3 linked regions of the Macaca mulatta genome follow. The protein of the gene in region 1 interacts with the protein of each later gene in a biochemical or structural test. Links are inferred from orthologs where the notes say so. Each region holds a gene or a part of one and is shown in the gene's direction. Other genes may lie near its edges.

Evidence for each region.
Region 2: of the proteins of WNK1 (region 1) and OXSR1, one has a biochemical effect on the other in vitro, tested with the Homo sapiens proteins (2 studies listed by BioGRID and IntAct, with this or other methods). The link is inferred for Macaca mulatta from reciprocal best matches to the Homo sapiens genes WNK1 and OXSR1.
Region 3: of the proteins of WNK1 (region 1) and KLHL3, one has a biochemical effect on the other in vitro, tested with the Homo sapiens proteins (2 studies listed by BioGRID). The link is inferred for Macaca mulatta from reciprocal best matches to the Homo sapiens genes WNK1 and KLHL3.

Annotation. Positions count from the first base shown.
Region 1 is NC_133416.1:1,530,500-1,541,107, forward strand, and holds the start of WNK1 (serine/threonine-protein kinase WNK1), read left to right. Parts: upstream 1-4,640; 5' UTR 4,641-5,039; coding exon 5,040-5,798; intron 5,799-10,608. UniProt on the Homo sapiens protein: Serine/threonine-protein kinase component of the WNK1-SPAK/OSR1 kinase cascade, which acts as a key regulator of blood pressure and regulatory volume increase by promoting ion influx.
Region 2 is NC_133407.1:100,418,123-100,428,817, forward strand, and holds the start of OXSR1 (serine/threonine-protein kinase OSR1), read left to right. Parts: upstream 1-3,538; 5' UTR 3,539-3,623; coding exon 3,624-3,693; intron 3,694-10,695. UniProt on the Homo sapiens protein: Effector serine/threonine-protein kinase component of the WNK-SPAK/OSR1 kinase cascade, which is involved in various processes, such as ion transport, response to hypertonic stress and blood pressure.
Region 3 is NC_133411.1:146,582,504-146,593,285, reverse strand, and holds the start of KLHL3 (kelch-like protein 3), read left to right. Parts: upstream 1-5,581; 5' UTR 5,582-5,817; coding exon 5,818-5,831; intron 5,832-10,782. UniProt on the Homo sapiens protein: Substrate-specific adapter of a BCR (BTB-CUL3-RBX1) E3 ubiquitin ligase complex that acts as a regulator of ion transport in the distal nephron.

The DNA of each region.
Region 1 (10,608 bases):
AGTATGAGGCTACAGTGAGCTGTAATTGCACCACTGCACTCCAGCCTGGACAACAGAGTGAGACTCTGTCTCAATAAAAGATAATCTTTCAATTTTATGAGAGAAAATAATATATTTTAATCTGCATTTTGCTAGTTACTGAGTTTCACCATTTTTTTCATGTTTATTTTTGTTATTTGCATTTACTGCTTTATTTTATTTTTTTTTGAGACAGTCTCGCTTTGTTGCCCAGGCTGGAGTGCAGCGGTGCAATCTTGGCTCACTGCAACTTTCGCCTCCTGGGTTCAAGTGATTCTCATGCCTCAACCTCCCGGGTAGCTGAGACTATAGGCGCACACCACCATACTCGGCTAATTTTTGTATTTTTAGTAAAGATGGGGTTTCATCATGTTGGCCAGACTGGTCTCAAGCTCCTGGCCTCAAGTGATCCTCCCACTGAGGCCTCCCAAAGTGCTGGGATTACAGGTGTAAGCCACCATGGCATTTACTGCTTTCTAAATTATCTTTTCATATCCTCCTTTTCTATACAGTGGTTTGCCTTTTTCTCAGTGATTTAAGAGGTTTTTTTTTTTCCATATCTTTTGGATATTAATCTTTTGTTATACAGTCTCCAGAGTTTTTCTGGCAGCTTGTGTTTTGTTGAATAGATTATCAATTTTGATATTGTCAAATATTTTTCTTTGTGGCTCTTGGATTGTTCTTTGAAGCCCTTTAGTACCTTATGTTCTCCTATATTTAAAAAATTCTTTAGATTTTTTTTTTAAAGTTTAGTTATTCAATCTATGTGGAAATTAATTTTGTGAACAGTCTGAAGTAAACTGACCTCATTTATTTTTCAAATGAATAATTGTCCAAGCACTGTTTATTATTTCACCTTACTGACTTCAAATGCAATTTTCCTTATATATATATATGAACTTCCCATACATACATGAGACTGTTTCTGTACTCTCCTGTTTCATTGCCTATGCTTACCTCAATACCATACAGATTTAATTTTGTGGTTTTATAATATACTTTGATATAGGTAAAATCCCATCCCCTCTATTTCATTTATAATATAAAGTTCTTAAAAACTATTCTTCATTGTTTAGCTGCCTGATTTTCACTGCCTACTTCCAGATGACAGGGTTCCAGATGACAAAGAGGTAAAATAAAAATTACCCATAGGCAAGACAAAGGAGCATGGGAAAATGAGGGGAAGGAGACAAAGAAAAAAAGAGAAATGCTCTTAAGATGGGACAATTTTTTCCCCTACACTTCAAGAAGCAACTTTATGTATTAATATTATGCCACATTCAAAGTAAGGCAGATCTTGTGTGTTCAGGATATTTCAGTCACTGTCTAAATCAAAAGTGTCTCTTTCATTGCTAGCTAGTTACCAATGGCAGAAACCATGTAAACGAAAAATGTGAATGGATGGGAATAGAAAGAAACATGAATCAATCAATGTGAGAACATGAACAAGAACTAGAGAGAACAGAGAAATGGTGAGAGAGAATAACATACTTGTATCCTTGTGGAACCAAATGTCAGGAAGTCAAACCTCTGAGCTGAGTGCATTCATTGTATCCTGGTTTCTTTGTTACCTCTGTTTACAGTCACTTGATGTTTTATACGGAATACAGAGAGGTTGATTCTTTACTCGATAATTGAAACAACAGAGAAAGGAAAAGTACTATTAGGAATTATAGTAATGAGTAACAGAAAATATCATTTACTTGGAGATAGGTTGGTAAGCATTAAAAAGAACTGAGTGAGCCGGGATCAAGCCACTGGACTACAGCCTGGGTAACAGAATGAGACTCTCTCAAAAAAAAAAAAAAAAGTGAACAAAAAAGTGTTAGTAAAATATGCACACCAAACAACATAACCTTTAAATCTAATCATTGTACGTAACAAGATTATATTCAACTTAAAATTGTATCTGTTTTCATTGTAAAGCTAACATTACACAAGTGGGAAAAGCTGTCTCCTAGGCAAGTGTGGTTTTAAGTCAACAATTAATTAAATTACTTACAATGAATTTAGTTGTTCCTGGTTGAAAAGACATGTTGATAGGGCATGGTGATTATCAAGGGACTTGTGTCCAATGCAGTGTGGCCAAAGTTTCAGGGCTCAGTAAACAGGAACAGGCAATAATAAAATCCTTTAATAACCACTCACACAAAAATATCCTAATTTTTTTATGGTGCCAAAAGGGAACATTGTGATTTACTGATCTTCTTTTAACTTGCCAATTTGTAATTAGCTGCCTTATGTTTAAAATCAGACTATTTTTCCTCCTGAAGCAACAATTGGGCAAGTTTTATTTGACTCAAGAAGTATAATAAAAATGTATTTTACGGCCATTTCTTCCCTTGCTTACAGTAGGTTTACGGTTAGAAATACACTCTTAATTCCATTTACCATAATGAGATTATTTACCATTACCCGCAGCAAACGAATGAAAGATACATTTTCTAGAGCAATGGAACACTAATATTTTAGTACTCTAGTTGTCCCTACTGAATTGGCATTTTAAAATGTTCACAACCTGTCAGCTTCGTGAAACCTCACAATCATTGGCTTCAAACATTGTTGTAAACTCGAAAGGGTAGCTTGTGATAAACAACAACAAAAAGAGAAAGAAAACAGCATTAACCATTTTACGGATCAGATGAATTAACATGAACTGCACGGCAAGAATTCTGCAGGTGGAGCTCATCCGAGAACTGTGCTAAGGAACCTCCTGCCGAGTTCCTCGCTGGCTGCTCGCTCGCAGCGTGGTCCTCTGCCCGGGACGCGCGCTTCCGAGCTGGTTCCGCAGCGGGCGCCCAAGAGAGGCGGCCGCGCCCGGACGCTCTGATGCGGTTGCGTACGTTTTCCGCGCTTCCCGCTCTCCACCGGTTGGACCGAGGCTTTTAAACTGCCATCTGCTCCCGAGTCCGGCCTCCTACTCCGTCTGGTGCCCCCTGGTGCTCGTCCCCTCCGCATCTTGAGGAGCTGCGAGGAGCACAGGGGTCCAGGGAGACAAGGATGCTTTCAAGAAAAACATGCCATGGCGGCGAGCCGCAGGGCTCCACGTTTCCCGGGCCCAGGGCCCTGGTAGACGTTGCATGTGGACACTGAGGAGCTCTGGAGAAAGAGGGGGTGTTGTTTCACGGAGCCACCCAGCAGAAGAAAGGTGGAAAATAAGTTTCAACCAACTACAAAGGCAGAAGTCAGCCCAGCCCCCCAAGTGTGGCCAAAGACCCGTAGATCCGTAGACCTTATCTTTTCTTGAATCCACCGCTCCCCCAACCCCGCTTTTATTATCTTTCAGGCAAAGCCAAGAGGGAGTTCACTAGGATCCCCGATTTCAGTCAGGCAGCCCTTTTTTGAGAGCCGGAATATCCGTGTCGGGCGGGAGCTGAGAATGTGGCCTTAATTGTTGAGGGGAGGAGGATGGAAGATAATCCTCCCTGTCTCCTCCTCCAATCCATTTAATCAATATTAATTTCATGCACCATCTTCACAAAGTTTCTTTTCCCCTCCTCCGACTCAGAACTCAGGCTCCGGTTATCCGGCTTTACCCTTCCCCTCCACCCCCACAGCCCTGCAGTCACTCAACACTACTGCGGCTCTCTCCATTAAAGATGAACAACAGATCATTTTTCATTGCATGGCAACCCTAAGAGCTCTCTCGCTTAGCAGAGCATGATGGGAGTCTTTCCATCTCCCCCCCACCTTCCTCTTTTTTTTTTTTCCCTTCCTTCCCTTCTTCCACAATTAATCCCTAAATAATGATTTTCCTAAGCTCGCGCGGACTTCAGGATGGGGTTGAGCGACCCGCGATGACGCTCCCATCAGCCTTTCAGAAGGGACGGTTTCTAAAGAAAACTACAACTCCCACGAGGCATCAGGCTACAGCAACCGCGAGGCATCACGGAAGTCGTAGGCACTTTTCTCCTAGGTCCCGTTCATCTCCTCCAACCCGTAAACTATAAGTCCCAAGGTGCCTCGGGGCTGGCACGCCTGCGCAAAACCCCGGAGCGAGGTGGGGGGTGGGGCTGCCCCGGGCGGCGGGGGGCGGGATCCGAGCGGGCTGTGTGGAGGCTTCAGACTCCCGGCGCCATTTAGCGCAGAGAGTTTCCCGGGCGGACGCGGCTCCTCTCTCGGCCCCTCCGCACCCCCGTCTTCGGTGACAGAAGGCGCCTGGTGGGGGTGACTGCTCTTTTCTCTCCCTGTTCCCCCTCACCCAGTCCTCTAGGTCTCCTCTCCTCTTGCCTCAGAGAAGCAGCGGAGCTCGGGCCCCGCGGTGAGCGGCCCTCCCCTCCCCGCCGTTCCCTCCGCCGTCAGCCCCCGGCACCGGCCCGGGAGGAGGCGGGTTCGCCAGGCCCGGGGCGGGCGGGGAGGCCTCGGGGAAGGGGGGGCCCGCTCCTCAGGCGCCGAGGCTCCGAGGCTCCGGCCCTTCGCCCCGGGGCGATGGGCGACCAGTGAGGCCGGTCCCCATCGCGGGGGGCGCGTGTGGGAGGCGGCGGCCGCCGAGTGACCGGAGCCGGGCCGCGGCCTTCCTCGCTCGCCTCGGCCCCTCCCACTCCCTGCCCCGGGGCTGCCACCGCCCGGGCGTCGGACCTGGTCCCGTGCTCGCGGCGCCGCCGCCCTCTGGGCCTAGCCCGCCCGGCTCGGCGAGCGGGGCAGTGGGAGCCGCGTCCGCCGCATCCGCCTCGACTCGGTGCCGGCCCCGGGCCCTCCCCTCATGACTGCGGCGCCTCCGCTGCCGCCGCCCGCCCGGCCGCCGCTCGCCGCAGGATGGATGCGGACCGTGCGGCGCTAACCCCCGCGGCTCCGCTCCCGACTCGCCCGCCTTCGAGCCCTCCTCGCGAGCCGCAGCAGTCTCGGTGCCAGCGGCCCGCCTCGCCCTCGCTGCGGCTGGTCAGTGCTGAGTGAGGCGTCTCCGGGTCGGCGCGAACCCGCCCGGCCGCGGTGCCCTGCAGACCTCCGCGCGGGCGGCTCGGCCCTCACGCCCTTTCCATCCGCGACTCCGAGCCCGCTCGCCTCTCGCCAGCGAACCGACCATGTCTGGCGGCGCCGCGGAGAAGCAGAGCAGCACTCCCGGCTCCCTGTTCCTCTCGCCGCCGGCTCCTGTCCCCAAGAATGGCTCCAGCTCCGATTCCTCCGTGGGGGAGAAACTGGGGGCCGCGGCCGCCGACGCCGGGACCGGCAGGACTGAGGAGTACCGGCGCCGCCGCCACACGATGGACAAGGACAGCCGCGGGGCGGCCGCGACCACCACCACCACCGAGCACCGCTTCTTCCGCCGGAGTGTCATCTGCGACTCCAATGCCACTGCGTTGGAGCTCCCCGGCCTCCCTCTTGCCCTCCCCCAGCCCGGCATCCCCGCGGTTGTCCCGCAGAGTGCCCCACCGGAGCCCCACCGGGAAGAGACCGTGGCCGCCACCGCCGCTTCTCAGGTAGCCCAGCAGCCTCCAGCCGCTGCCGCCCCTGGGGAACAGGCCGTCGCGGGCCCTGCCCCCTCGACTGTCCCCAGCAGTACCAGCAAAGACCGCCCAGTGTCCCAGCCTAGCCTTGTGGGGAGCAAAGAGGAGCCGCCGCCAGCGAGAAGTGGCAGCGGCGGCGGCAGCGCCAAGGAGCCGCAGGAGGAACGGAGCCAGCAGCAGGATGATATCGAAGAGCTGGAGACCAAGGCCGTGGGAATGTCTAACGATGGCCGCTTTCTCAAGTTTGACATCGAAATCGGCAGAGGCTCCTTTAAGACGGTCTACAAAGGTCTGGACACTGAAACCACTGTGGAAGTCGCCTGGTGTGAACTGCAGGTAAAGCCCCACCTACTTCTTTATTTGAAGGTCCTCTGGATCCCAAATTTGGCTTGGCGAAGCCAGTTGATGAGTTCACCCTTCACTTGGCATTCTCTAACTGTTGGACTCCGAGTGGGAGGGGGAGGTCAACTTTTGAAAGGGGTTGAAATTAGGAGAATGTGGAGCATGTGCCTCGGTGTTGGGATAGGGTAAGAATTACTGGTAGCCAGAGGGATTTGCTACCGGGCAGGGGTGGTGAAGGTCATCTCAGTATAAACGAATTGTCTCCTGGTTTAGTGTCTGGCAAGGAACTTGGAATGAGGGGGGAAGTTGAAAGTACAGATGCTTCTTCCTCTGTGCGTTTCAGTCTCATCAGAGGCTCTGCAGTGATGAGCTGCCTCTGGGCGTAGAAGCGTGTTTCCATTCCTGAGATCAGGCTGTTCTTTTTAAATGAGAACGACCTTGTACTTCTGGATATATCTTACTTGATGGTTGCACAGGCATTTAGTATAAAATAAGTATTAAAAAAGACTCTTCTCTGCCCCTTTTGGATGAATGCCTTGGCAGTAGTGACGTGCAAATAAATGTTTGATGTTGTTCTACCTAATGATGCTTAAGCCTTACAGTAGCAGCATTGCTCTGACATTGTTCGTTAAACTAACGTCTTTCAGCCCATTCACTATACAGCGAATAGTACAGGAGCCCATGCAAAATTGTGTAAGTGCTTTGAGAGTTGTAATGTCATCATCATTATTTTAATCTTATAAAATATTTTTAAGCTAAACTTTCCCAAGAGTCCAAAGGAGTCTCAATACTTCCTTTTTTAACCTCTAGTGGTGTAAATAATGGTGTGTCATTCTGGTTGACTAGTACATTCTAGGTTTAAACAGCTGAGTTTGCGCTACTTGTTGCTTGACTAACTGAAGCAGCTTGCTTGAATGTTGCCCTGACTGGGCATAGGTGAACATAGGTTATTAGTAGGAGCAGGGTTATACTGAAGGAAAAAAGTCAGCCACATTATGCATACATAAAAAAATGTCATTAGACCAGCCTCATACAGGATATGAAAATAACTGAATGATCTTGGAACTTGTTTTATCCATGAACTAATATGTTAACATGTAACCCTTTGAATGTCAGGTTCCAAATAATTAAGGCCATATCAAATGTGAAATTAACACAGCATGTGGAAGTAAACTTAAAAACTAAGAAGTTATTTACAAACATAATCATTTCTTAACTTTTACAGTTAATGATGTAGAACTTCTAAAGTAGTGTGAAATTAAAAGTACTCATTAATTTTATAGTATTTTAGAATTGGAAAGGTGACAGATCTTAAAAAAAAAAACAACAACGAAAACTATTCCTTTTCGTCAGTCATACTCAAAAAACTTAGTCTGGGCCAGGCGCGGTGGCTCACGCCTGTAATTCCAGCACTTTGGGAAGCCAAGGCGGGTGGATCACGAGGTCAGGAGTTTGAGACCAGCCTGACCAACATAGCGAAACCCCGACTGTACTAAAAATACAAAAATTAGCCGGGTATGGTGGCACGCGCCTGTAATCCCAATACTTGGGAGGCTGAGGCAGGATAATAGCTTGAACCCGAGAGGCGGAGGTTGCAGTGAGTGGAGATCACACCATTGCACTGCAGCATGGTGACAGAGCGAGACTCTGTCTCAAAAACAAAAACAACTTATGTCTGATTCCTTTTGGTTTACAGGCAGAAATTTACAGAATTTACATTTCTTTCTTGTACTTTCGACGCCTATTGCTACTGATGCTGGAATTTTATTCTTCCATTATAGTTCTATATTTGAATAGGTGCTTTTTAACAATTTTTTTTTTCCTTAACCGGTTACCTTACTTTTTTGAGACTGGACCCAATTACTTGTTGAGCACTTTATGAATTAATTTTGTTAGTTTTAATTATTTCACTTCTGAGACTTTTCAGAATGTGATGTGTGTTTTCCCTTTATCACCTGGAATTTTCTGATACTTTATTATCTTGGAACTGATAATACAGTGAAAAAAACTTAATTTGTCTAATATCATGATACAAACTTTGTCTAAGCTTCTCAGGTTTTCTTAGAACTGGTAGCTTTTTGGATTTTTAATTATCTAGGCATGGGCATGACTAAACTAAAGAAAATCTTATATTGCATATTATTTTTGAGTCATTTCCGGATTTGGCTGCAGAACTAGATGAATCCTAGCTTATTAAGTGGTACCTGATTTAGAAACTTCCATGTCATTTGTCTGTGCCTCTATAATTTTTTGTTTTGATTTTGAAAAGATTATCCTATCTGAAAAATCCTTTATAGCAGCAGTTAGGAAGTATTTTTGGTTTTTTGACCAGGACAGTTGCACTATATGCCTAATAAAGTATTCACTGGGTCAGTGTTTGAACTTTTATCTTTGGAGCCAAATTAAAGGACAAGCCCAAGGGATTACTAAAGCGTTGGGAAGATAGAAACTTTTTCGCTAAATGTATCCTTTTAATATACACATATTTCTGAAGCAAGACAGGAGAATATTGTGTTAAGTTGTTGACTTAAAAATCTTAGTGTATTAAAACTGGAAGAAATCTTAGGTTATCCTGCCCATCTATTTATTTGACAAATAAGAAAAGTGAAATCATAGAGCAGGTAAATAACTTGATTAGGTAGATGAAGAACAAAAGCTAGTTAGGATCTAATAATTTGGGAGATGATAAAGTATTTGTAGTCCAGTAGATGGCTAATAAGTAATTTCAAATGAAGCAATATTGTTTTGGTGTGGAAGTGGCTGTTGGATTTCTGGAGGACCTGGTCCTATACCCATGGCAAATTTCAGGCTTCTGTTTTGGGTATTGATTTTCATCACTTCAAATTGAGATATAAATAGGCTTTCGTGGATGGGTGAATGTGGTATACAATTCAAGCTGTTTTCTGCCAAGCTTATTTTTTAGAATCATGTTATACTATGCACTGCTCTTTAGTAAAACAAGCATCAATTCTTTTCTTTTTTTTCCCCCCCCAAAAAAAAGAGACGGAGTCTTGGTCTATCTCCAGGCTAGAGTGCAGTGGCTCGATCTCAGCTCACTGCAACCTCCACCTCCTGGGTTCAAGCGATTCTCCTGCCTCAGCCTCCCAAGTAGCTGGGAATACAGGCGCCCACCACACCCAGCTAATTACAAGCATCAATTCTTAGTAAATAATACGTAGGTAATATTTTGACACCACAGGATCTTCAGTAATTACTGAGTTGTTTAAGATGCAGATTTCTTTACCTGGTTTTATTAGACAAGTAGTGCACCTTAATTTTAGTATTTGATTGTCTTGGTCAGAAAATACTACTGTTGGGCCTGACATTGATGCAGCCGGATGTGGTGGCTCATGCATGTAATCCCAGCACTTTGGGAGGCCAAGGTGGGCGGATCACATGGTCAGGCGTTCGAGACCAGCCTGGCCAACATGGTGAAACCCCATCTCTACTAAAAATACAAAAATTAGCTGGGCGTGATCCGTGCCCCTGTAATCCCAGCTACTCGGAAGGCTGAGGCAGGAGAATCGTTTGAACCCGGGAGGCGGAGGTTGAAGTGAGTCTAGATCGCGCCATTGCACTCCAACCTGGGCGAAAGGGCGAGACTCCGTTTCAAAAAAAAAAAAAAAGAAATAAATAAAACATTGATGCACAGATTTAAGAATGATTTATTTTAAGCGCCTTCCCCCCAAGTTGCCTTTGAAGAGTTCACATGATGCATTATATGTTGATGAGATTGTTTCCACATCTACCTGAAAAGGGAGCAAATCATATTTTTGTCGAAGCTTCAATATACTTAACTGCTTACTTTTCTTTGTCTTTTATTAAGACTATATGTCATCAGTATATGACATTAATATTTTGTGAAAAGTTTAGCAGTGTTACAGAAATGGGATGTGGTTCTGTGATTAAGAAACCATAATTTATTTCTTTGCTATAGTTCTTAAAATATCTCATTGAACTGAATCTCTCTATTTGAATGTTGGTGATTTTTTTCCCTCTTTTTAAATTTGTGCCACATTCCTTATTTTTTAGGATGAGAATCAGCATAACTTTCCATCTCAGGAAATAGTTTTTGGAGTTTGTTCTTAAATCCTCAAAGTCATTGATTAGGAGTATTGGCAAAATTTTTTCTCTTACCTTTTTTCTGACCCATGGTAACACAGTCTGAGAAGTAATCTACAAACCTGGGAAGAGGTTGTTTTTGTGTAAAACAAACTAGGAATCTATTGTTGCTTGGTGACAATTCATTTCTTGACATTCAAATTCATTTAAAATTCATCTTATTCCACCAGCAGCTTATCAAAGAAATTCAAAAAAATAAAAAATATATGTATATAAATATAAATAAAATACATCTTAGTTCGTCCCTATGGAAACATTCAATTAAAACTGGGCTCTCATTTTCAGAAATCATCCTAAACCTGTTATTTGGGTTTTCTGGTAGTTTTTACACTTTTTTAGATAAAGCTGTAAAAGCAGCAAGAGTAGCTATACTCAATTATCGTTTCTGAAAATATTTAGCATACTATGAAATAATTCATAATTAGTACACCTTTGCTATACCAGTTCTGTAAATTATGTTGATAATTTAAATTATATATTTAGTAACTTGTATTTTATTTGAGTTTTTTCTTTTGTTTGTTTGTTTTTTGAGACAAAGTCTCACTCTGTCGCCCAGGCTAGAGTACAGTGGCTCGATCTCGGCTCACTGCAACCTCCACCTCCCAGGTTCAAGTGATTCTCCTGCCTCAGCCTCCTGAGTAGCTAGGATTACAGGTGCCCGCCACCACGCCCGGCTAATTTT
Region 2 (10,695 bases), on another chromosome or scaffold:
GAACTCCTGACCTCACGTGATTCACCTGCCTGGGCCTCCCAAAATGCTGGGATTACAGGTTTGAGCCACTGTGCCAGGGAGAAAAACAAAAAACAAAACTGAATTATGTCCATGGGTCATACAGCTTAACAACCCCAAGTTAAGGATTTCTGATTTGTAGACCTTTCTATTGGTGCAAACTTTGAAGCTAATACCATCAGATTTAGCTCCTTTCTGATACATTTGATCCCATCCCTCTCCTCCCTGCAAAAAGAAAAAGGCAGAACATACGGTAAAGAAAGTGTCAGTAGTAATGGCTGAAACCACTTACAGCAAGGCCTGTGCTATGCTTTCTGGAACTGTGGCACCTTTGCTGGGCCTGGACTATTCTATCCTCTAAATGTGCATCTATTGAAATCATGTTAACTTTGCAAGGTCTGGTACAAACGCTTCCTTCTTCATGAAACATTCTCCAATCCTACCAACTAGGTGGAAACCCACTAGTAGCTTCTAGTTGACTGGTTTCATGGTCAGTTGGACCTCCCACAGCAGAGCTCACACAAAGCTTCCAGTGCTTGGAGGTGTTTTATTTTTTTATTTTATTTATTTATTTATTTATTTATTTTTGAGACGGAGTCTCGCTTTGTGGTCCAGGCTGGAGTGCAGTGGCCGGATCTCAGCTCACTGCAAGCTCCGCCTCCCGGGTTTACGCCATTCTCCTGCCTCAGCCTCCCGAGTAGCTGGGACTACAGGCACCCGCCACCTCGCCCGGCTAGTTTTTTGTATTTTTTAGTAGAGATGGGGTTTCACCGTGTTAGCCAGGATGGTCTCAATCTCCTGACCTCGTGATCCGCCCGTCTCGGCCTCCCAAAGTGCTGGGATTACAGGCTTGAGCCACCGCGCCCGGCCTTGGAGGTGTTTTAGAACCAAACTAAGATCTACTTGCCCAGTGCAGTAACGCCAGATTGCCACACAGGTTTTGCTGCAGTAGACAGGCAGGACTCCCAGCAAGGAGAGGAGAATTGGTGTAGCTCAAGCTTAAGACCTAAACTTCCCCAGCCTGACCAACATGGTGAAACCCGCCTCTACTAAAAATACAAAAATTAGCCAGGCGTGGTGGCAGGCGCCTGTAATCCCAGCTACTCAGGAGGCTGAGGCAGGAGAATCGCTTGAACCTGGGAGGCAGAGGTTGCAGTGAGCCGAGATAGTACCACTGCACTCTAGCTTGGGCGACAGACCGAGGTTTCATCTCAAAAAAAAAAAAAAAAAAAAAAGTCTGGGCGCGGTGGCTCACCCTTGTAATCTCAGCACTTTGAGAAGCCGAGGTGGGTGGATCACAAGGTCAGGAGTTCGAGACCAGCCTGGCCAATATGGTGAAACCCTGTCTCTACTAAAAATACAAAAATTAGCTGGGCGTGGTGGCACGCACCTGTAGTCCCAGCTACTGGGGAGGCTGAGGCAGGAGGATCACTTGAACATGGGATGTGGAGGTTGCAATGAGCCGAAATCATGCCACTGCACTCCAGCCTGTGCAACAGAGCAAGACTCCGTCTCCCACAAAAAAACAGAACAAAACAAAAAAAACCCTGAACTTCCAATGGCTTGCAGGAAAGGATTTTTTTTTTTTTTTTTTTTTTTGGAGACGGAGTCTGGCTCTGTTGCCCAGTCTGGAGTGCAGTGGCACGATCAACGTTCACTGCAACTTCCGCTTCCTGGGTTCAAGCCATTCTCCTGCGTCAGCCTCCTGAATAGTCCCGCGCTGCCACGCCCGGCTAATTTTTTGTATTTTTTTAGTAGAGACGGGGTTTCACCATATTGGCCAGGCTGGTCTCGAACCCCTGACCTTGTGATCCACCCACCCCCCCCAACCCCGCCCCGACCCCCCGGCTTCTCAAAGTGCTGAGATTACAGGCGTGAGCCACTGCACCCAGCCTTTTTTTTCTTTCTTTTTTTTTTTAGACGGAGTCTCGGTCTGTCGGCTACTGGAGTGCAGTGGCATGCGGCATGCTCTCGGGTCACTGCAACCTCTGCCTCCCAGGTTCAAGCGATTCTCCTGCCTCAGTCTCCCTAGTAGCTGGGATTACAGGCGCGTACCACCATGCCTGGCTAATTTTTGTATTTTAGTAGAGACGGGGTTTCACCATGTTGGTCAGGATGGTCTCGAACTCCTGACCTCAGGTAATCCGCCCGCCTCGGCCTCCCAAAGTGCTGGGATGAGCCAGTGCACCCGGCCTAAGGTCTCTTCCTTAATAACTGCCATTGGACTGAAATGCGTCCAACCTAGAACAGTTTCGCACCTAGCCCTATTCCTGTTATATGCTCTTTATTTTTTAAAATCCAATTTACCAAGCGTGTTGTCTTCAGCTCGCTAATTTCTCCAACAGCACTACGTAGTCAAACTGAGAAAACTGTTCAGTGGGGGTGACAAAAGCCAAGGCTCGTGAGACAACCCCCAAATCTGTGGGTCGATCTGACTTGTTTAATAGCCCAAACCCTGTTCCGGGGGAAAAAGCCTTCCGAGGCCCTCAAGGCAGGTGCTTGAGCTGCAGATCTAAAGTTGCTAATGGACAGAACCCGCCCAATGCAGGAGGGAACCGCGAGAGACAGCGCCACAGCATGCCTTAGAGAGAACGTCCGCCTTGAAAAAAATGTCACCAGGCAAACTTCCAGTTTCACTCCGACCGGTGGCCCAAGGCCTTTTATCCTAGTTGGCAGTGGTCCACACCCGAAGGCTACCCCACCCAGCCGCTCCCTCAGGGCTTCTCCACACCCCGTGGAGGCTTTCGCACGTCTCGAGGGTGTGACGGTTACGCCGTGACGTCACTCCAGAGGAAGTGGTAAGACGAGCGGGGTAATGGGGCTCTTGAAGGGCTGCAGCCCTAACACGGAGAAGCGCTCTAAGAGCCTGGAGGCGGGACCAGCTTATGACTGACGTCTACCCACACCCATTGCTTTTCTGATTCCTTCTCAAACAAACCAATGAATGCGACGACGGAGCCAGCAACGTGCCCCAGGCGCTAGAAGTGGCTCCGCCCCCTCTACTTTGCTGCGCTTTGGTCGCCATGCTTAGTGTGGCTACTGCCTCTGTGCTACCTGAGGCTCTCCTACGGCTTTTCGATGCCTTCGATGAACCTCTACCTAAACATTTCTTCCCTTTCACCGCCAACTCCCACCTTCTTGGGTTTCTAGCTCGCTCACTTTGTATTCAGCCACACTGGAGATGGCGGCCGGAGGCGAGCCCGAGGTGGGGCGTGACCAGCGCAGTGACGTCAGCGCGCTGCGTGTCGGCAGGTGGAGGGAGAAGGGAAAGTTTGGCCCGTGCGTGGGGCTGGGGTGGAGGGCGGGACAGAGGGGCTGGGCCCAGGGAAAGCTTCTGTCGCTGCTGCTGCGGAGGCCTAGGACAGGACGTGGGCTGGGCCGGGCAGTGCCGGACGCGGAGGAGCAGGAGGCGAGGTCTGCCGGAGCTCTGAGACCCCGCCGCTCTGCCGCGCGGTGACCCCGCGCCCTGGCGCCGTCCGACCCGTGGCTGTTCCGAGACGATTGGTGGGGGCGCGGCGGCGGCTGTTGGGGGTGGGGAGACGCGCGGCGAGGAGACGAGCGAGGTCAGCGAGTTTGAGGGAGGACCGCGAGCCGCTGCCGCCGTCATGTCCGAGGACTCGAGCGCCCTGCCCTGGTCCATCAACAGGGACGATTACGAGCTGCAGGAGGTGATCGGTGAGAGCAGGCGCCGCGGAGGGGGAAGGCGCGGCGCTGGGCGGCGGGGGACGCGGGAACGTGGGGATCCGCGGAAGCTCGGGGAGCGCAGCCCTCACAGGAATTCGTGGGACGCTTGTGTCGAGCGCGTGTGAGACGGGAAGGGGGTTTTGAGGCGCGCGCCTGTGAGGCGGCGTGGGGTGGGGCTTGAGGGGGCTCAGGAGAGATTTGTGTACAGCATTCTCCGATGTGTGGACAGGAGCGACCCATGTGTCTTGTAGAGAAAGAAAGTGCAGGTGTGGGGCAGGCCTTACCGAGGCTGTGTGAGAAATGGGATCTTGAAGTTGTGGGCACAGCCATCGATTTCTGCTTTAGTTTTTTCCTCCTGGTCCGTGCTGGGGCGAGCTGGGGATCCTCCAGGTGAAGCTGCAGGAACCACGCTGAGCAACAGAGACCCAGCTTCTGACTCCTTTCAAGTGACTTTCTAGTCGAGGAGGTAGACATTAAATAAGTAGACAAAAAGAATTAAAAAGGGCCGGGCGTGGTGGCTCACGCCTGTAATCCCAGCACTTTGGGAGGCCGAGGCGTGCGGGTCACGAGGTCAGGAGATTGAGACCAGCCTGGCCAATATGGTGAAAGCCCGTCTCTACTAAAAATACAAAAATTAGTTGGATGTGGTGGGGCTCGCCTGTAGTCCCAGCTACCCGGGAGGCTGAGGCAGAAGAATCCTTAAACCCTGGAGGCGGAGGTTGCAGCGAGCCGAGATCGCACCATAGCACTCCAGCCTGAGCGACAGAGCGAGACTCCGTCCTTGGTGGGGGGGGGGTGGAATTAAAAAGAAGAGGTTTTGGCAAGTGCCATGAAGGAGATAAACAAGATGTTCTGATAGAGAATAACCTGGAGATCTAGTTAGGGTGATTTCAAGGAAAATTCTTTTTCTGAGGCGATGACATTTCAATTGAGCCCTGAAGGATGAGAAGTGAGGATTAAGAGCCTCAGGAAGATTTTTCCTTACAGAGGGATGAGGAGATGCAGTGGCCTTGAGTAGGGGAAAAGCTTGGTATGTTTTAGGACCTGAAGGAAGGCTGGCAAGGATAGAGAGGGAAGGGAGGAGCCAGAGCTTAGGGATCTTCTCAGCCTTGCTACAGATTTTGGAATTTTATGTATCACTGGAGGCCCTCAAATAGTGCCTTGACGTGATCCAATAAATTGGGCTGGTGTGTGAAAAGATTTGAAGGGGGTCCAGGAATCCCAGTTGGCAGAGACCAAAACTTGCACAAACAGATTGTAATTCTCACAGAAGCCTAGGGATTGGGAGGAGGCTGGGGCCTGGGGATGAGGGGAGTATTTGTTGGACAACAATAACCCAGTGACCTTGGAAATCAAAAGGGGGTGGGTTTAGCTATACAGGCTCAATCAAACTGACATGAGCAGACACCTGTGTATTGGAGGAAGGAGAATTGTCTACTTTGCCAGCATCCTGCCCTAAAATTAGTTTTATAACAAAGACCAACTGAAGACTTCTTAGCTGCCTTGGGAGTGTCGGTGTTTATTTCACTGTGGGTTTTAAAAAAACTTTGTGAAAAAATTTTTTTTTTACTTGCCTCTTGTTGTAAGACAATCTGGGCTTAAAGCAGTATTGGTTTGTGTAGGAAAAACAAAAACAAAACAAAACAAAAAAACCTGGACTAAATAAAGACATCACATCTTTGCTTAAGCCACTTCATGGGCCTGTGTGCTTGCTACGTATTTATTGGGTCTTTGACGTGTATTTGTTGGTTCTAAAGACAGCTGGTTCCCGGTCTGAACTGATTGCTTCTGGTTCCGCCAGTCAGAGTTTCATATTGAAGGAAAGGATTAAATAGAAGATTCTAAAATGATGTCAGAGAAGTAAAGATGAGGTTCCCTATCATCATTTTAAAAGAAGAGTTTTTATTTTTATTTTTTTTCTGGTAGTGTGTCCATCTTTCTAGGGTGAAGAGGGTGGTTGTAGTCATTCTCAAAGCCTTTGGTGTTAAGATGGCAAAGAATTTCAGAGTTACAAAGGCGCTAGAGATTTGGTGATTTGTTAATTTGGTGTCCTCAGACCCTTAGGATGTCTGTGAGTGGGCAAAAGGTAGCCTCTCAGTCTTCTGGATAGGGTTAGTGTTCCTCACATTCACAAAGTGGTCCATGGTTTTTAAAAGGTTATGAACTCCAGTGTGATTTGACCATCTTTCATGGATTTAAAACAGCTTTACTGAGGTATAATTTAATATAAAATTCACCCATTTTAAGTGGAACGTTTAGTGATTTTTAGTAAATTCCCTGTGTTGTACAACTGTCTTCACGATAATCCAGTTTTAGAGTATTTCCAACATCCCCATGAGATCTCTTGTGCTTTCTTACAGTTAATTCCTTTTTCCACCCCCAGCCTTAGGCAACCATAAATCTACTTTTTGTCTCTATAGACTTGCCTTTTTTGGACATTTGTATAAATGGGATCATATAACATGTGGTCTTTCATGTTTGGTTTCTTTCACTTAGCATAAATATTTTTTCATTTGAAAAAAACAAATTTGAGATATAATTTATATACCATAAGATTTACCTGATTAAAATGTAAAATTCAATAATCTTTTAGTAAATTTACATAATTGTTCAGTCATCACCACAATCCAATTTTAGAACATTTCCATCATTCCAGAAAGATGCCTCATGTCCATTTGCAGTCACTCCCTGTTCCCACCCCCAGCCCCAGGCAAAATATACTTTCTGTCTCTATAGATTTGCCCTTTCTGGACATTTCATGTAAATGTAATCATATAATATGTGGTCCTTTGCGTTTGGCTTCTTTTACTTCCCATAATGCTTTTTGAGGTTCATCCATCTGCCATGTAGTACATGGTTCCTTTTTATTGGACACCAGTTAATGGGCATTGGATTGTTTCTGCTTTTTGGCTGTTTGGAATAAGGCTGCTTTGAGTATTCACATCAAGTCATCCCATGAATATGTTTCGTTTTCCTTGGATGTATACCCAGGAGTGGAATTGCTGGGTTGTATCACAAATTTAACTGTTTAAGAAACTGCCAAACTGTTTTTCAAAGTAACTGTACCATTATGTTCCTACTAGTAATTATAAGAGTTCTCATTTCTCTACATTTGTTGTCTTTTTGCGTGTAACCACCCTAGTGGTTATGAAGTGGTATCTCATTGTGGTTTGGATTTGCATTGCCCTAATAACTAATGATGATGAACATCCTTTCATGTGCTTATTTTATTAGGCTTTCATAGATCTTCTTTGGTTAAATATCTGTTCAAATCTTTTGTCCAGTTGGACTGCCCATTGGGTTGTTTTCTTTTTTCTTCTCTTTTTTTTTTTTTTGAGATGGAGTCTTGCTCTGTTGCCCAGGCTGGAGTACAGTGGTGAGATCTCAGCTCACTGCAACTTCTACCTCTTGGGTTCAAGCAATTCTCCTGTCTCAGCCTCCTGAGTAGCTGGGATTATAGGTGCTCGCCACCATGCCCAGCTAATTTTTGTGTTTTTAGTAGCGATGGGGTTTCACCATGTTGGGCAGGCTGATCTCAAACTCCTGACCTCTGGTGATCCACCTGCCTTGGCCTCCCAAAGTGCTGGGATTACAGGGGTGAGCCACTGTGCCTGGCTGGTTTTTTTTTTTTTTTTTTTTTTGAGTTATAGAAGTGTGGGTATGTGTATTCATTTTGGGTATGTGTCCTTCATCTGATATATGATTTAATTTAAATATTTTCCCATCTGTAGTTTTTTTTTTTCTTTTCATTTCCTTTTTTTTTTTTTTGAGTCTTACTCTGTCACCTAAGGTGGAGTGCAGTGGCATGATCAGGGCTCACTACAGCCTCCACCTCCTGGCCTCAAGTGATCCTCCCATCCCTGCCTCCCTGGTAGCTGGCACTACAGATGCACGACACCATGTTTGGCTAATTTTTGTGTCTTTTGTAGACACCGAGTTTCGCCACATTTCCCAGGATGATCTCAAATTCACTGCAACCTCCACCTCCTGGGCTCAAATGATCCTCCCACCCCTGCCTCCCTGGTAGATGGGACTACAGGTGCACGCCGCCACGTTTGGCTAATTTTTGTGTTTTTTGTAGAGACCGAGTTTCGCCACATTTCCCAGGATGATCTCAAATTCCTGGGCTCAAGCGATCCGCCTGCCTCAGCCTTCCAAAGTGCTGGGATTACAGGCATGAGCCACTGTGCCTAGCCTTCTTTAATTTTAACTTTTTTTTTTTTTTTTGAGTTGCAGTCTTGCTCTGTCGCCCAGGCTGGAGTGTAGTGCCATGATCTTAGCTCACTGCAACCTCTGCTTCCTGGGTTCAAGCAATTCTCCTGTCTCAGCCTCCCGAGTAGGTGGGATTACACGTGTGTGCCACCACACCCAGCTAATTTTTTGTATTTTTAGCCTCCCAAAGTGTTGGGGTTACAGGTGTGAGCCCCCGTGCTTGACCTCTTTCATTTACTTAATGGTGTCTTTTAAAGTACAAAAGTTTTGAATTTTGATGTTTATCACTTTTTTTCTTTTATTTATTTTGCCTTTGGTGTTATATCTAAGAAATCTTTACTAACCCAGCATTGTGAAGATTTTTTTATCCTATGGTTTCTTTTAAGTGTTAGTTTTAGCTCTTGCATTTAAGCCTCTGAAACATATTGAGTTAATTTTTGTGTATGGTGTGAAGAAAGGTGAACCACCTTACTACAACCATCTACAACTGTTTTACAGTTGAAGACACAGAGACAGAAAGGTAAAATAACTGCCTAAAGCCATATAGCTAATTAGAGGCAGAGCCAATACTGGCATCTATGTCTCCTGTAGCCTAATTCAAGATCCTTGTTCCTGTATCTACATTGGTTCTTGGATATAAACTGGAAGATGGGGGACATTGTCTCACAGATTAAGGGGAATATCTCCCCTGCTTTTTTTTTTGAGACAGTGTCTCACTCTGTCACCCAGGCTGGAATGCGATCACAGCTCACTGTCTCACTGTACGAACTCCTGGCTTGAGTGATCCTCTTACCTTGGCCTCCCTAGTAGCTGGACTACAAGCACGTGCCACCATGCCCACCTCATAGTTTTATTTTTTGTAGAGACAGGGTCTCATATGTTGTCCAGGCTGGTCTCTACTTCTGGGCTCAAGCGATCCTCCCACCTTAGCCTCCTAAAGTGTTGGGATTTACAGGTATGAAGCACTGTGCCTGGCCAAGGGAAGTATCTATCCTTAGAGTGAAAAAAATCTGATAGATATTCCACACCTGTCACATCCCTCCAGTCTACTCCTTACAGCCTCTCTCCATTTTCCCAACAGGGAGAAAAAAATTTTTTTCCTTGATCTACAGCCTAGTACAAGCAGCAAGTTTCAGTAAAGCGTTGTATTCTTATTCTAACTTTGCTTCCATACCAAAAAGTTTGGTACATAGTAATTTGTAATAAGCTGTGGTCTTCAAAATGAATCTTTGCGATTTCAGGTTACACTCAACTTTTTCAGGAAACAAATGATTAAAATCTAGAAAAAAGGTTTTGGGATCATTTAAATTTTGTTTTCAAAGGATTTTTTTCTAGAGTAATCAGTGTAATGGTGTCATCTCCATCAAAACACGTACATTTATTTGAACTGTAATATGTTTATTTGAACTGTAATTTTTTTCACATTTGCTTCTTAGCACTATACTATTTATGGGATTGTTTCTCACATTCTGTTTTGTTCTTCGTCTGTCTGGTAAAGTCCTACAGAGAACAGAATCTCCTCCTAGGAACACATTAAAAGCCTATAGACTGAAAATTCAAAGGGCTTTTTTTTTTTTTTTTTTTTTTTAAAAAGAATCGTATCGCCTTAAGCATGCTTTGGCAAGATTTGAAGTTCTTTAAGTATGATTATGTGTAAAAGATGTTAGTGTCGTTCTCACAATTAATCATTGATCTTTCAGTATTTTTGAGCCCTTAGTCTTAGATTAGAATTTCAGTATTTTTGAGCCCTTAGTCTTAGATTAGAATTTCAGTATTTTTGAGCCCTTAGTCTTAGATTAGAATTTCTGAGCATGTGTTATACTGTATTTGGCATGTGTTGAAGCAGCTGTAACAATTTGGGCTTTGGGGTTAGACTGACCCAGATTCAAATCCTGGCATTGCCTCTTACTAGTTATGTGATCTTAGACAAATTATGTAATTAGTTTCCATGTCAGCTTTTTGTATACTGGGGAGAATAGCACCTCTGTCATTGGGGTTGTTATATAGGTTGAGTGTCATTATTTGTGGGAAGTGTTTAGCTTGTATAAAATGATAGTTGTTATTATCTCTGACCTTTTTTTACCCTTTCTCTTTGTCCTCGTATTTCCCAACTTTTGGTATTGCCATGAAATATGAAATCCTATGTGATGTGAAATCTTGTAACACTTACAATATTTTGAATCTGTTTTTAATGCTTATTGGAATATTATTGCATTTATTTTATTTTATTTTTGCATCTTTTTTTTTTTTTTTCTTAGTCCAGGCCTCATTCAGGTTTAGATGGATTTAGGGACTTATGTTGGACATGGTAGTATAACTGTAACCATGATATTGCTAATAATACAATATAATGGCAGAGAGGGCTGTGCCAGTTAGCTTTTATTGCCCTGCATTGTGAAAAGTCTCAATGAGTATTTACTATTTACCTCAGATTAGAAAATTGAAAACTTCATACTAGGTTTAAGGTGTGATTCACCTAGCTTTGACACTTTGGTGAAGGCAGTGCAATATATTTCTATTCTTGACTTTCCCTTTTTATTTTCATTAATTGTTTACTAGCCACACATTTTGAGTCTAAAGTTGTGGTTTTCAAATACAGATTCCAGGGCCTTACCTTTAGCGCCTCCATAAATGTGAAGGACTTCATGCTTTCAATAGAGTGGTGCTTAATAGTGTATTTTTCCACTTATTGGAAGACTCAGCTAAGGTGACATTTTCTATGAGGCCAGCATTGGGCCAACAACCTCATAGTGTTGTATCAAATAGGGCTTACATTTCTCT
Region 3 (10,782 bases), on another chromosome or scaffold:
CACCTACCATTTTAACCAGCTGGGCAGATGTTTCTGATGCACAGCTAGGTGTGGGACCATTGTACTGTGTTATGGTGCCTGCCAATGTGAGGAACTGATGTCCTGGAGAAGGAGGGTAAAAGCGAGAAAAGAAAAAGGGCATTTACAAGGAAGAATGATTGGCTTAGCTGTCTTCAGATAAACTGTACTGGCTCCCTATACAGAGATAGAGTATGGAAGAGAGAACTTTCTAGATAAAACCCAGCTTAAAGAAGTTTCTCCTCCCAACATGGTTTCTTCCTAAGCCACATAAGAGCTGAATGATTCTAAACAAAGTTGGTGTAGATAACTGAATAAATTGGGGTAGAGATCTGGGGTCACTGGGGACTTTTGATAAGCTGTAGAAGAAGGCTGGGGTGTGGGAAGGACTAGGCTAAGATGGGGGTCCCCAGGTCACAACCGGTACTGGTCCGTGGCCTGTTAAGAACTGGAATGCACAGCAGGAGGTGAGCAGCCGGTAGGTGAGCATGACCACCTGACCTCTGTCTCCTGTTAGCTCAGCAGTGGCATTAGATTCACCTAGGAGCATGAATCCTATTGTGAACTGTGCATGCAAGGGATCTAGGTTGTGCACTCCTTGAAAAGCTATCTAATGCCTGATGATCTAAGGTGGAACAGTTTCATCCTGAAACCATCATCCTCCCTGACCCCCCACCCCCATCCTTGGAAAAGTTGCCTTCCATGAAACTGATCCCTGGTGCCAAAAAGGTTGGGGCCCGCTGGACTAAGACACTATTATTGCTGGGCAATCCGACGATGGTACCTTTTTCTCCAGACAGATACCACTTTCATTCTTTTGACTCTCCTCTACTGCAAGACTCCAACAGCAACTGTCCTTAATCTGAAGTCCAGTCAGGAAAATTAGCCTAGAGCAAACAGGTTCAGGCTGTGGTCCAGAGAACATTTGGATAATAAGGTAGAAAATGTAAAATGTATCTCTGAAACTGGAAAATATTGGGGGTAGGAACTTTGTGCTAGGAGTCTGGAGACTTTGCTTCCTGACTCAGCTCTGTCCCTGGTTTTGCTAGATAACCTTTCTTCCTTTTTTTTTTTAAATTTCAACTTTAATTTTAGATCAAGGGGTACATGTACAGGTTTGTTACATGGGTATCTTGCATGATGCTGAGGTTTGGGGTATGAATGATCCTGTCACCTAGGTAACGAGCATGGTACCCAGTAGCTTTTCAACTACCTTTTAAGGCTTGCTCCTTGTATTAGATGGTTATTGTGTTGCTATAAAGAAATACCCGAGGCTAGGTAATTTATAAAGAAAAGAGGTTTAATTGGCTCATGGCTCTGCAGGCTGTACAGGAAGCGTGCTGGCATCTGCTTCTGCGGAAGCCTCAGGAAGCTCACAATCATGGTGGAAGGCAAAGGGGGACCTGGTATATCACACGATGAGAGCAGAGGCAAGAGTGAGGAGGAGGGTGCCACACACTTTTAAACAACCAGATCTTGAATGAACTCAGAGTGGGAACTCACTCATTATTTTGGGGACAGCGTGAAACTATTATGAGTGATCTGCCCCTATGACCCAATTACCTCCCACTAGGCCCTATCTCCAACTCTAACACTGAGGATTACATTCCAGCATGAGATTTGGATCCTACCAACATCCAAATCATATCACCCCTTTTCCCTCCCTCCATCCTCTAGTAGTCCCCAGTATCTATTGTTCCCATCTTCATGTCCATATGTGCCCAGTGTTTAGCTCCCACTTATAAGTGAGGACATGTGACATTTGGTTTTCTGTTTCTGCATTAATTCACATAGAATAATGGCCTCTCACTGCTTTCATGTTGCCTCAAAGGACATGATTTTGTTCTTTTTTATGACCATGTAGTATTCCATGGCGTATATATACCACACATTCTTTATTGAGTCCACCATTGATGGGCACCTAACTTGATTTTTTGTCTTTGCTATTTTGAGTAGTGCTGTAATGAACATGCAAGTGTGTGTACCTTTTTAGTAGGATGGTTTATTTTCTTTTGAGCATATACATAGTAATGGGATTGCTGGGTCAAAAGGTGGTTCTATTTTTAGTTCTTTGAGAAATCTCCAGACTGCCTTCCATAGTAGCTGAACTAATTTACATTCACCAGCAGCGTATAAGCATTCCCTTTCCTCCACAGCCTTGGCAACATCTGTTATTTTTTGACTTTTTAGTAACAGTCATTTTGACGGGTGTGAGATGAGATGGTATCTCATTGTGGTTTTGATTTGCATTTCTCTGGTGAGTAGTGATGACGAGCATTTTTTCATATTTGTTGGCTGTTTGTATGTCTTCTTTTGAGAAACGTCTGTTCATGTCCATTGCCCACTTTTCAAAATGGGTTTATATGTTTTTTGCTTGTTGAGTTAAATTCCTTATAGATTCTGCATATTAGACCTTTGTCAGATGCAGTTTATGAATGTTTTCTCCTATTCCGTACACTGTTTACTCTGTTGATAGTTTCTTTTGCTATACAGAAGCTCTTTAGTTTTATTAGGTCCTACTTGTCATTTTTGCTTTTGCTGCAATTGCTTTTGAGGACTTAGTTGTAACTTCTTTGCCAAGGTCAATGTCTAGAAGGGTATTTCCTAGGTTTTTTCCCTGGGATTTTAATAGTTTTAGGTCTTACATTTAATTGTTTACTGCATCTTGAGTTTATTTTATTTTATTTTATTTTTTGAGACAGAGTCTCACTCTGTCACCCAGGCTGGAGTACAGTGGTACAATCTCGGCTCACTGTAACCTCTGGGTTCAAATGATCCTTCTGCCTCAGGCTCCCAAGTAGCTGAGACTACAGGCACATGCCACCACACCTGACTAATTTTAGTATTTTTAGTAAAGATGGGGTTTTGCCAGGTTGGCCAGGCTGGTCTCAAACTCTTGACCTCAGGTGATCTGCCTGCCTTGGCCTCCCAAAGTGTCGGGATTACAGGCATGAGCCACTGCACCTGGCTGAGTTAATTTTTATATATGGTGATAGGGTCCAGTTTCATTCTTCTGCATATGGATAGCCAGTTATCCCAATATCATTTATTGAATAGGAAGTCCTTTCCCTATTGCTTATTTTTGTTGACTTTGTTGAAAATCAGTTGGTTGTAGGTGAACAGCTTTATTTCTGGGTTCTCTTTTCTGTTCCATTGGTCTATGTGTCTGTTTTTATACCAATACCATACTGATTTGGTTACTATAGCCTTGTAGTATAGTTTGAAGTCAGTTAATGTGGTGCCTCCAGCTTTGTTCTTTTTGCTTAAGATGAGCTTTCTTTTCTAAATGGCGTCTTCTGAGTATTCTCTATTCTGTCTACTTCCTGTGAATCGTGAGTGGTGAATAAAGTATGAAGGTGTAGTAGTATGGTTTTGACACATACATTATAATGATATCGGTTAGCATGGCAAAAGTGGGTTGCAGGGAAATTTTGTGGGTTTTGATATTGGCTCTTAATAGTTGTATTTTGAAACTTGAATACCCACAACCCTTACATATTTCCTTTTTGGATCTTTTTTCTTTCTGTCTGGTGTATTAGATGTGGCATTTCCCCACCTTCCTGTAAGGCGAATATGTAAACGTGGGTATGTGCAAAGGAGTCATCTCTTTCTTATGTCCCTTTTATGAATCACCCAGTTGTCTTCCTGGTGGATGTCTGAACTCTGGCATGGATTCCGAGATTCAATTTCCTTATTTGTGATGTTCAGTTTTTTGTGGTCCCTGTGATTGACCTCAAGAGGAAATATCTGGAGCAGGGCCACAAGGCTGATTAGAGGAGGAAGGGACATAGAGGGAACAAGATAGGAGGGGTATTGTTGTGAAAGGAAGAAGTGAAGATACAGCCCTGTGGGGTGTAAATGAAATTATCCAGGCCTCTTCTCACTTGAGAAAGAGTGAGTTTGAGTAATGGCCTCGTCTAAGAGAACACTGAGGTGCCAGGGGAGGTAATCTTTGAGAATAACCCTGTAGCCAGTTTGAGTTCAGGAGGCTATATAAAGTATTAGTTACTTTTACTTTCTGTCACCCCAGTGTTTCTCTCTTCCTTCTGTGGTTTTAGAGCTTTGTAGTAGTGAAGACATTTATCAGGTTAAAATGATAAGAATGATAGATTTACTAAGCGTCTCTTCATACTTTCACCTACATCATGTTATCCTCCTTGAAGCCCCCTACAAAACATTAGAGCCTAGTGTTTCTTCTTAAACAATCATACAGATTACTCTGAGAAGAAAAACAGACCATTTAAAACATTTTTAGAATCCTGTGATTTTGGAGCTGAAAGGGACTCTAAAGACTGTCTGGTCTTGACCCTATATTGTGAATGAGTAGCTGAGCATGAGGTCCAGAGTGTGGAGAACACTACTCAGGAAAGTCACTCACCCAGTGAGAGCTGGTGCAGATTCGGAAAAGCCCAGGAGTGTCTTGAGGGGTCCCAGAAGAGAGATGCTCATAGCTGATTTTTCTGAGGCATTAGGGTAGCTTCTGCACCACTTTTTGTGGCTAATTGCCCCAGTTACCTCTAAGCCTCTGTGGCTAGGATATACAGACTGGCCTCCTGCCTTCCACAAGATTATGTTTTAGTTTGGGAAAGAAGATTTATAAATAATGAATTAGCTAGGTGTGAGATGACAATACAGGACAGTATAGTTTGTAGCTATTTTGGTGGTGATTGGCTGTCATTGGTGTGATTCGGGAAGTTATGAAGACATGGGATTTTGACTAGCCTCCCAGAAAGACTAAAGGACTGGGATTGGAGAAGCCTTTCCAGGCAGGGAGAGTTAAATTAGTCTAAATAGAAGCTTAGCAGCTGGAGATTACAGGATGTGAAAGATCTTTGGCTGGATATGGGGGTTCAGTGGGAGACTTACTAGTTGGAGCCACAGCTTAAGTTAAATTCCAATATGACAGATTTTAGGAAGATATTTTAGGATTGTGCTAAGATATTTTAGTATTCATTGTGATAGCTTTACTGCAGTAGTCTTTGGCCTCTTGGAGTAAAATAGGGTTTGTTTCCGTTTCACCTATTTGTACTACCTCTCTTTTTCGACTAATTTTCCAATTTCTCTCTGTATTCTTTTAATTTCTCTCTGTGTTCTTCTCACTTCTGTCAGGTGCTTTTTCCTTAACTTCTCCCCATCTATCAGACACTCAGAGCTACTATAGAATTTGGGAGGAGGATTTGGAACATAAACTGTGACCTACAAGTGAATTTCCCCAGGTGGATGATAAACTCCACTGCAGGCCACAGAGGGGCCTCCTCATTCCAGCAATCTGGCCAGGCTGACAGACTCATAGCCTATGGGGGCAGGGGAGGGTGTAGGGGCCAGTATTTCTCGGGCTAGTGACGAACTGCCTGATTCTTTGCAGCCTAGACAGAGGAGGCAGGAGCCCCAGGGGCGGGCTAATCGCCTGGGCTGGGGATGCCTGGGCAGATGCAGAGGCAGCTGGAAAGGTGGCAGTGCACCTGGGTCGCTGGAGCTGCTGCCGTTCCTAGGAGACCAAGGAGCAGCAAGCCTGCGGGGGAGGGGGAGCAAGTGGGTTGCTGCTTTTAGCAGCTGAAAGGGCTGCAGGGAGCTCTGGGTAAGACATTTTCTGCTGCTGCTGCTTTTGCGGTAGAAGCTGCTGCGAGTAAGTCAGAGGAAGGAGGATTGAGAAGGGAGGAGGCTTCACTTGCAGCCATGCTGAATCACTGTTGCTGATCAGATCTCCCACTGGTCTGCTGGGAGAATCAAGAACAGAACTAGGATTCCCGGGTGCATGCACACAGTTCAGCGGCTACCACCCTGACTGGGCCTCACACAATGGAGGGTGAAAGGTATGTATGTATAAGTATGTGCTGTGTTGTGTGTGTATATAAGTAAATGTGTGCTTGCGGTACAGCCACCAGCTTTTGTGCTTGCATTGGCTAGGCAGGGTTGGAAAACCTGGCCACTGATGGATCTCAAAGGGCGGCAGAGCAAGAGCAGGAAAGCCGCTTTCCAAACCACCCATTCCAGGGCTTGAATCTCCAGAGATCTGGCTTCCGCAAAGGCAGGTCTGGGTTTGCTAGGCAGCGGAGCACCCTGAAAGAAGGGACTTCCTGGCTGGTGTTCGGGAATAGTTTCAGCACAGGCTGAATTAGATTGCCTTTCTCAGGCTGTTTCAAGGAGGCGTTTCCCTTTCCTGGCTACTTTCCCGGGGTGTTTTTTCTTTGGTGGGGGGTTTTTGATGTCATAGTGGGGCCGGCCTGACATAGTGTACTTGCATTTTCACGCAGGAGTGCTCGAATCTTCAGCAGGCATGCCATGCTGATGGCTGTGTGTGTGTGTGCGCGCAGGCACGCCGTGTATGCCTGTATACACACACATTCAGGGATGAAGGAGAGAAATCCAGTCAGATGACACTTGCTCTGAACTGAGTTTCATATTTGTATTGAAAAGTTTATGAGTTATACTGGAAGGTCTGTGCTTCCTCCATCAGGGATTTCTTTTGAAATACGAACCAGCAGAAAAGATTTCAAGTACTTTTGTTGAGCTGGATCTAACTAGCGAGGCAGTTAGATCCTGGCAGGCACACCCATCTAAATTTTTAAATTGTTATCTGAAGATCTGAATCTTTCATTGTGAAAGTACTCAGTGCAGTGCAGAGGTGACATTCCTCTGTCTATGAAGTAAAATATCTCTTGAGTGCCAACCTCTTCATTCTTTGGTCTGCAGTTGGTAGAGTACAGGGCTTGCCATTTTATCCGAGGAGAGAGCACTGCAGGGAGGGGTCCGGCCATGGCAGTGCACCACTGAGGGGAAGGCTGCTGCTCCAGGTTGCCAGTTTGATGCAGACAGTAACTATCTGGTTAACAATAATAGGCTCAACTAAGTCAACACTAGAGAATCTCTCAGTGAACACTTTCCTTTTCATGAGTTGTTGTGACTTCTGCGTCTCACGGGGCTCAATGATGCCATTGAACATCTCTAGACCCTATTAGAACTGGCATGATGGTTGAGTGTCATCTCATTCTTTTGTCCGTAGAGGCCCTGGGAATTGTGTTCTTGATGACTCCCACAGGAAGAGCCTGGGACTGACTGTGCTGCTGGTGCATCGTCTTTCTGGGTGCTCTTTGTAACAGGAGTTTAGTGTTGAACTGCATGTGGCCTGCTGGGCAGCAGAACATGTGAAGGCTTGTTTCCTAGGTGTGGGGCAGAGGTGAGCAGTGTCTTTGGTCCCCCAAACAGTGTTCCATTGGTCTGGTAGGTGGCAGAGAATGGGGCTGATGTGATGAAGGTTTAGAGATTCTGGGCCATGCCTATTTGCTTGATCTGTGGTGTAACTGGGGTTGAGAGATCAGTGTGAGACTACTAGCAGCGGATCAAATGGTTTGGGGCACTGTGTTCCCAGTTCTGTGTTCAGAAATGTAATGAGTCCCTGCCCCTGTCCTGGGGCCTCTCAGCTGGGATGGCTGATGTCTATGGCTTTAGAACACCAGGTTGCACATGTTCTTGTACTTTTCCTCTGCTGAAGGCAGATGGTAGACAAGAAATCCAAACCGAGCAGCTTCCAATGTTCACCAGGTCACCCAGGTCATACCTTTTGTTCCTGCCTCAAGCCCAGCTTACCATGCCAGGCATTCAAGTCTTCTGAACTCCAACTCCTGTTCCCATTCCCACTGCTCACTCATAAACCTACTAACAATTCTATTGATCTCTTTCATGATCACCCATCCTATACATTACTTCATCTAGCCTCATATCCTTAGCTCCCAGAGTTTCTTTTGCTGGATGTCTTTCCCTTCTAATTTTGCAAAAGTTATCTATCAAGGTTATTCTAAAATTCTACTTTATCTTGGAAACTCAGCTTTTCTAGTCCTGGCTGATGTTCTTCTGAATTCTAATCCCTCTAGTTTGCATCTCATAGTTGGACACTGAATAATAGGCCCATCAGATCTTTTAGTGCTTTTATTTCATATATCTTAGCAGTCCCCAAACTTGGAGACAGGTCCTCAAGGGCAAGGCTAGTACCTTGTACTTCTAAATACGCCCATTGACTACTGTGTGGGTACACAAATAGCAGGTGCTGAATAGTTATTAGCTGATTAACTAATAACCTTTGTGTGAGGCTCTGATAACTAAAAAGAAAGTTGGTGAGAGAAGAGACTGAAGCCTTTGGCCAATAGGTTCATCTTTGGATATCAGCCTTATTATCTTAGCACGGGTAACTGACTCCATGGAATGCTTTGAGGTAGGGGGGAGAACAGAGGGAAGTAGCCTTGTTTTGCAAGTTCCCTGGGAAATTGAGGTCCGGAGAAGCTGAGTGACTTGCCTAGGATCACATGTCCAACCTCCAGAGACTGGAGGGATCCTGAATCTGGTGCTTGTTCCACACTTAACCTGCTGAATCTTAATTGGGGCTGTTTTTAAGCATTACAAAATTTCAACCAAGAGATTGCTAATGAACAATTTTTTTTCTTTGCCACGAGGGTATGAAAATACTTTGTACCTTGAAAGGCTATTAATTAAAAGCATGGGCTTTGGAGTAACTTAGACCTAGTGGTGAATCTACTTTACAGTGTGACCTTGAGTGTGTCACACTCTTTTCAGAACTAATTTTTCTCTTTTGTGTAAAGGAAATAATAACAGTACTTATACTTCATAGAGCTGTTGTGAAGATTAAATGATACAATATGTGTAAGGTACCTAGTAAAGTTTTTTAGGCACTGAGTGAGTACTCAGGAGATGGTAGTTGCTATTATCATTGGTATCCACCTATTGCTATGTTGTAGCCTATACCTCGCTGCTGGGTTACTAACCAAGGCATATTTTAGGACCTCTCTCTGTTTATCATCCAAAGCAGATTAAGTAGAACCATTTCCATGAGGAAATGAGGGAGCTTATCAGGCCATCATCTTGCTTCTTACCTAAAACTATCTCCGTATAGTAAGTTCCCCCATAGGGCTTGGCATTTCTTCTTTTAGGTTTCATCAAGATCTACCTTAATCTTTCTTTTTATAGACAACCTGTGGCATCTAGTTGCCTCAGTGATTTGGAACCATGGGCTGGATACATGTTTGTTCAGGCCAAAATCTCAAGAAGAACTTGTGAATTTGCACTAACCTTTGCTGTATCTTTCTAGATTTCCAGGTCTCTCCTGGAACTTATGATACTGAGTCTTCCCCAGTTCCCTCTGTGGGAGAATCACTGTGGCTTGACCAGTCAGACGAAGGTGATTTTGTCTTCTCTTTTGCAAAGGGAAAGGGTCTCTGGCTGTTAGCTATTACAATGATAAATTGTGTCCATGTGAGTGGGTATGTAGAGAAGATAGGTATCACAAATGGCAGTTGTCCTTGCAATTGGGATTTTATTTCAGTTCTGGAAATCAGCCTTGTGGATAGCTTAAAATAAAATTTCAAAATAAATGGTTAGTCAGATTCATAGAGACAGAAAGTAAAATGGTTGCCAGGGGCTGGAGGGAGGGAGGAGTGGGGAAGTTATTGTTTAATGGATAGAGAATTTCAGTTTGGGAAGATGAAAGAATCCTGGAGATGGATGGTGGTGATGGTTGTACAACAGTACGACTGTACTTAAAAATGGTTAAAATTATAAATTTTATATTACATCTATTTTACCACAATAAAAAAAACATTGAGGCCCAGACTGTGGCAGATCTGCAAGAGTTACAGAGCAGCACAACTTTGGAAGAAGCATCATAAAAAGGGGAAGTTAATTGTCTATTTTTCTTAAAATCATGATTATTTTCTTCATCAGAAGCACAGCGATGCCCCTGCTTGAGACGGGCATCATGTACCGGGCACTGTGCTGTGATTTTGTGTGAGGTGTCCTCAGAGGATAGTTCTTACTGACTGGTTTTTACGAAGGAGAGCCTGTTCCTGGACCTCAGGGAACTTCTGATCCAAAGGAGCTCATCTATTTACCTTTGATCCAGGAACGACAGATAGAGAATATTTTCTGAGGAGACAAGACTTTGAAAGCCAGTATACTTTAAATGTTGAGTTTTCTAATGTCAGGTTAAATGCTGGCAAGACCCAGGGAAGAGCAAGTGTTGAGCAACCTCGCCTTTTTTCTGTTCCCAGTGGCAAGTCACTTAGTCCTCCCCGAACCTTAGAAGTCAGGGATAGAAAATTCTGTAAAAAGTTTTGGGCATCACTGCTGCCTGAAGCAGATGTGCATGCATTTCAACCATGATAATTGAAACCAAATTTTTCCATTTTGGAAATACTTTTTGGCAAAGTAAAGTTTTCAACTGCAAAAACAAAGTCAGGGAAAGAAACCTCTTGATTTCCCTGCACCCAGATTTGGATTTTTAGGATTTTGCTTGCTAAGTTTTGAATTGGTAAGACAGATCTGGACAAGATAATTTTTGTGTGAGTTTTCCTAAAAAGTGCTTTATTTGATGAAATTTGCCATCATCAAACTAACCTTTTTTTTTTTTTCATTTTCTGGATGAATGTTCAAACTAGGTTAAACGGAATAGAGCACTAATAAACCATGTAAAAAATAGATTGAACATGTGCTGGTAGGTTTTTTCGTTTTTTTGTTTTTTTCTGAGACAGAGTTTTGCTCTGTCGCCCAGACTGGAGTGCAGTGGCGCCATCTCGGCTCACTGCAAGCTCCGCCTCCCGGGTTCACGCCATTCTCCTGCCTCAGCCTCCAGAGTAGCTGGGACTACAGGCGCCCGCCACCACTCCCAGCTAATTTTTTGTATTTTTAGTAGAGGCGAGGTTTCACCATGTTAGCCAGGATGGTCTTGATCTCCTGACCTCGTGATCTACCCGTCTT